2 linked regions of the Drosophila melanogaster genome follow. The protein of the gene in region 1 interacts with the protein of each later gene in a pairwise test. Each region holds a gene or a part of one and is shown on either strand. Other genes may lie near its edges. The genes, in order: CG34168 and CG15126.

Region 1 (3,297 bases):
TCAGAAACATGATGATGACATCGGCAATACCACTTGTCCCTGGGTGAAAATGGAGCACGCACTGGAGCAGCAGAAGCTAAAGGAGCCGATGTCTGTGGAGCAACCGAATAAGAAAGAACCGTCCGAGGTAAAGAGCCAAATCTACATACCACCTGCTCTCCGCCAGAGCCAAGGTGACTTCAATCGACGGGATCAGGCTGAGAGCCGTCTGCGTAAGGTTCCATCCAAGATGTCCGGAAAACCTCAAGCTCCTGATCTCAACAGTGACGAGTATTTCCCCAGTCTTAGCAAAGCACTCAAACGCACCAAGTAGCCGTATCACGATGATATACTCTTTAAACTTACCGTTTCTGTTGTTCACTATGTTTAACGATATCAATTTTTCTGGTCGATCTGATGCGGGGTGCCTCGATTAAATAAAATTGAAAGCAATCAGCAAGCCCATCTGTTTTAGTGGTGTTTTACTCGTAAACAAATTTGCACTCAACAGGCCCATTAGCATTACACGTCTTTTTGGCTGGTCCCCGATGTATCGTTAGCCGTAAACGAGCCAAATATTTACAATCAAATGGGGTTTAGCCTTAAATGCACCCGGCGGACTGAAAAGAAAACCAAAAACGGCAAATTACGAGATGGAATTTTGTGATTGTTTCCACAGAATGCATGCCAAATATTTAATTAGGTTTGCTAACTGTTGATAGCAATACATGTGAAGTGAAATTAAAGTGGTCTATTTTTGAATTATACGTATAATTTATTAACATCTATTTCTGATGGCATAATCTTTCATCGAACACAAATCTTTGGATCCACTTTGCCTGACAACTTTTCAGCGTGGCTCCTCATCTTCGACAAGGCCTCACGGCTGCAATCTTTAAAGCTCCTGTTCCAGATCGCGGATAAAGAAACCCTACATTCCTTCTAAGCAGGCTAACAATGTCCACCATACGGCCCGTAGCATGAGCAGCAACCATATGGGCCACAAGGACCGCAACAGTGGTTGACCGAACGGAACCACTGGCCATTGTAGGGTCCGCAGAGCAGGCAGGGTCCCAGTCCGCCAGTCGGTCCACAGCAAGTGCCGGGCATCGAGCACATTCCTGGATTGCACATTTTATTCTGAAAACGAAATGAAACGAATCGAGGATATTTTCAAGAAACAAATTCGTTTGTTGTTCACACTCACATTAGCCTGATTACGGAAGTAGGATTTTCAGTCCTAGAAATTTGGTAGTCGTACAAATAGATGTTTTCTGTTGGAGAACCGAAACTATAATGAGCTAAAGCCACTAGCTTGGTCCACAAAGTTCTACAGATTTAACTTTGATTTCATGGCCTTCTATGTTGTGGTTTCATGGCCTGCTTTTAAAATGCTTTTTTCCAAATTTTAAAATTTGATTAACTATATATACAGTTAGCCTCTTAGCCTCTTATCTAATTCGCTTTAAGAATTTTAATTCATAAAACCGTTCCCGATTGTTTGTGTGTCCCATAAAATTCCACTCCATTGCTCCTCCAAAAATACTTCAGTCCGTCCCGAAGGACTTCCCATTCCCCTAAAACTCTCGATGTCATAATTTAGCCGAAGGCGCAACAAGTCGGAAAAGCCAAGCCGCGACTGATTTTTCCTCTTTGCCCCACCTTTCATTGTTTTACCAAGAGCAGAGTTTTCTTAAGCATTTTGTGTTGGGCAATGCACACAAACCTATTTTTCTTCACAGCCGGGATTCCGTCTTCTTGTTTACGGACAACAGAGCCGGGATTCGCAGTCAAAGTGAAGTAAAGTCACTTGACAAGTTTTGTCACGTGCGTCACATGTTGGAATGTCCCCCAGCCACCCAGGCCACCCACTTTTCCGACTCTACCCATATTTCCACTCTGGCTTCTGAGCATTTGGAAGCAATTTTCCAGGCATGCCTTGCCGCTTCTGTCGTTGTCGTCATTTCATTGTTTCAAAATTGTTGCTCATGTTGTTTCTGTTGTTGACCTGGTTCTCTGTTTTCTTTTCTTTTTTTTTTGCCACGTTTCTTGGTTACCAACCGGTCTGCTTCAACTGAAAAGAGCTCTTGCTGGCGTAAATGTGTTTGTGATTATTTAGTTATGGCATCTAATTGAGTTTGGTGTTTGTTTGGCTGGCGCGGGAGTGTGCAAAGTGTGCTTATGCAATAGCTAATTGAGTCGATTACCCCAACACTTTTCACGTTTTCACCCAAATAAGCTGTAAGGCTGAGTGTAAATTAATCCATCTCGAAGTTCCTAATTTTTATGAGTTTAAGAAAATAAGTAAAAAAAACTCTGAAGGATGAAGAATTCTGTACATTTTACAAGTTTATTTACTTATAAAGCTCATGTACATCGATTTTCCAACATCACTATCTCATCTATTACTTAATCGAATTAAATGAAGGAAAGGCCAAGAAAATTTGATCGGATTAACTTCTTATCTTTTACCAACATTAAATTAAAGCACTTCCGCCCTTCGTAAATAGCCCGTTCGTTTGGTGGCCTTTTGGGTCTGGTTGAGCTTATTTTCTGTTCCGATTCCGGAACCCCGAATACCCCGGGAAAATTCCCGTATCCCCTTCCGTAACCAAACATCATCTCCATCGCGTGTTGGTCTCGTATTACAGCATTGCATATTCGCAGGCGCGTGCGCTCCCATTCGATTTGAACTCCATGGCGACTTTAAGGAAAATGCATCGAAGAGCCGAATATGTTGTGACTGTGAAGCTTAATGTTTCGTGTTGATGTGACTTTTTTCCACTGTTTTTTTCCGGCTTCTTCGCTGGTATTTTTACAGTTTTCAGCAATGCCTTTTTCAGCCCGCTCAGAAGTTCAATGTCCCCCATTTTATGAGCGTCCGTGCAGCGGAAGTTTTGGAGCGATAAGTTTTTGGTTCCGTTCTTATGTTTTTGATTTATTTGTTTGTAACTCACAGCTTAAAAGCGGAAGAAAACTCCATTAAAATGTTTAATCATAACTAATAATGCATAATTGCACAATAAATTTTAAAATATACATACATATGAGGAAAGCTACAAGTGCTCACATAGATTCTACATAGTCAAATAGAAAACTTTATTTAATTTAAAACCATAAAATATTAATTATTCATTTATGTAACTTATAAATAAAAATTAAACTTAATACACAATCTGTACTCTTTAAAATATAATTATTACTATCGACAACAAAGGAAATTTTCGGGTAGTAAAAATAGATTTCTGATTAATAAATTGGCAAAATACCTTCAAAGGAAGTCTGTTGTGGTCACTTGCCTGTCTGAATAATCCAGCG
Region 2 (2,888 bases), on another chromosome or scaffold:
GACTCTTTGTTGCTTTTGTTGGCACTCTGCTGCCGCTCCTGCTCCTCCTACTGCTTTCAATTCAATTTTTCGCCAGCTGTTGTGCTTAATTTGAACTTTAAGCATTTTCCTTGTTGTTGTTTGGGAATTTCCGGCTTTAATGCGGCATTTCTGCGGCTGGGCGACGAAAACAACTCAATGTGAATCGGAAAATGGAGAATAGGGAACCGATTTCGTAGCGTTAAGAAGTCCTTTGTGGGTCAACCAGTCAGCCTTTTAACCGCTAATGAAGACTTATTTCGCAGCACAGCAAAGGCAATGCACTTATTTATGGTTAGGCCGTAGTATTTCCCATCCGAAATATGGACCGGTTGACAGTATAAATAATGTGTTCCTTTGCCAGAATTTATGGCACTTGTATGTCTTCTGGTCTTCGGCATCCACTTGGCTGCTATAAATTAGAGCCACCGACCAGTCCGACCTTAAATGTGAAGTGCGTGTGTGTATGGCTACAGGATCTCCACCTCCAACCACATCCATCCACTCCCCCTCAAATACGCACACACACACACACACACACGCATTCCCGACACGCAACAAAACACACAGATACCATTGGTACACTTGTATTATGGCAGCGGCTTTTGAGGTTTTAAAGCGTTTTGAGGTGACACATAATGATTAGCCAGCCATTAATTGCTTAGCACTCGAGGCACTCGATTACACTAATTAGGCGTCTTATTAACCTTAAACACATACACAGTTACAGAACTCCTTCGGGGCATTCGTATTTATTACGTGAGGGTTCTTAAAACTACAATCTTTAATAAATTCCTTTATAAATTCTTATGAAATTGTGCAGCAAAGGCAGCAGGGACGAGGTCCGTGGTGATGATGGGGCGGTCCATGGTGATGTGGCGGTCCATGGTGGCCTCCATGATGCGGGGGTCCGCCATGATGCGGTCCTCCATGTCCATGGCCTCCGGGTCCTCCGTGTGGTGGTGGCATTATTCAGATATTTTTGCAAACTTTGAAAACCGTGCGGTTGGGTCCAACTCTTATAGGCAACTAAATCCATATTGTCAGGGTAAATCTAATCAAGACCTGCCTCATAAAGATAAGTACTATCTAATCTGTATAGTATTGCTTGCTAATCGATAGAAGTGTTAGTTAGCACAAACATGGGAATATTATGATGACCATGGCGATGAGTAAGGCCTTGTAAATGCTGAATTAGTCATGACAAATAAAATGAGGAAAACCCCTCTAAGGTCTCCTTCTGAGATAGCCATATGTACAATTTTTTTTTGCTTCTAGTTTTTAAGTGATAAGATTAAGCTTCCAAAATTATAAAAAGTACACTACCGCTGGGACTTTGTGAAATGTGCATTTTCTCTATTGTACACTTAAAATTTAATAATAATTCAAAATAACATAACCCAAGAGATAACAAATGTAACTTTCATTGGTAATCTATTCCAAGGTATTTCCGATTTTCTAAAAGGTTTGTTGGTAAATCGATAAGATAATGGCTTTCAAATTTTGCGGAATTATGTGCTTATAAGACCGCCCAATCGATCAACATTATTCTATGGAAATTCAAATACGAATTCGAATGTTCTTAGAATACACGACTTATTGGCTTTCTTCTGAAACCGAAACTCCATTTGTACTTTATTTACTGCCCTTGCCAATGAAGGCAATAGTACTTAATAATTGTAGAATACGAACTTTCCACCAATCTGATTTTGTCAATTTGCCATTGAGATTGCTATAGTGCATATATAGTTCATGCGAGTGGAGCAACTTGATTTTAATTCCTGATAAAGAAAAGGCAGCCGTGGCCATGTAACTATTTACTTTCCCCATGACATGACCCAGAAAAGTATGGCGAAAATTCGCCAAGCCAAGTGCAGGCACATTCGGCAAGAAAACGGATGGAGCAAGACCAATGGCTTGGCTTTTTGAATTCAATTAATTTTATCTGCATCAGTTTTCCCTTATAATCGCATCCCAGGGCTGCTCACATGCGAAACGGAAAACGGCTAAAGGACTGAAGGACGAAAGGACGCTTACTCGAAAAAAGGACCGCAACTCGTAAAATATATAAAGTCATTGCAAAAGCCAATTTGTATATCAGCGTTGGCGGCTGAGGCCCGGCGATTATCAAACTGCGAAACTTACTTAAAATGCCCTCAAAAGGGGGTTTCCCTTGCCAAATGGAACGGTGAAGGGGAGTTGGCCCTGCTTTCATGGTAACAATTACATTTCACAGATTTTCGTTTGGGGTCGCGTGTGCCGTTGCATGTTGTTGGTGCGGTCGCATTCGCGTCCGCTTTTCGCGTTCTTTATTTCGGGCTTAAAGGAGCTTACATTATCGCCGGGTTGGCAAAAGGCAAAACCCACACACCGGCAGGCGAATTTCCACTGGCTGATGGGCGACGTCTAAATATGAGAATGTTGTGTGAAAATGTTTAAAATCCACGCGAGCCTCTCCGAGCGCAAATGCTTAGCACGCCATAAGTGTCAGCCAGCCATGATTGCCTGCGGTTTTCCCAGTGTATTTTCCCGTCTGTTCTATATGTGGATACAGTTGCGGTTACATAAATAGTGCTAGATCTATATAATATGTTTTGTAAACAAAATGGTTCGGTTTTTACCCTAAGACTTATGGTATTTATTAGTTTTGTTTTGTTAGTTATTTTTGGCTACAATACATTTCATAATACTTAATAACTTTTTAATTGTGGTTCATATTCGCGTTATACTTTTTTTTTGGTTTTTTTTTAACTATTATAAAAACTACTATTAAACTGATCGCGGCTGTAAATGTGTGGGTTTTATTCCTTTGGCCAAGGAGTGGCCACTTTTGCATACCTCCCCCTGAAAATAGCGTGGCGGGCGCTAAG

What was found.
Region 2: the proteins of CG34168 (region 1) and CG15126 interact in a two-hybrid assay, tested with the Drosophila melanogaster proteins (2 studies listed by BioGRID).

What each region holds. Positions count from the first base shown.
Region 1 is NT_033779.5:16,133,976-16,137,272, forward strand, and holds CG34168 (uncharacterized protein), read right to left. Parts: upstream 1,298-3,297; 5' UTR 1,187-1,297; intron 1,120-1,186; 5' UTR 1,114-1,119; coding exon 931-1,113; 3' UTR 739-930; downstream 1-738.
Region 2 is NT_033778.4:19,688,944-19,691,831, reverse strand, and holds CG15126 (uncharacterized protein), read right to left. Parts: upstream 1,035-2,888; 5' UTR 988-1,034; coding exon 826-987; 3' UTR 754-825; downstream 1-753.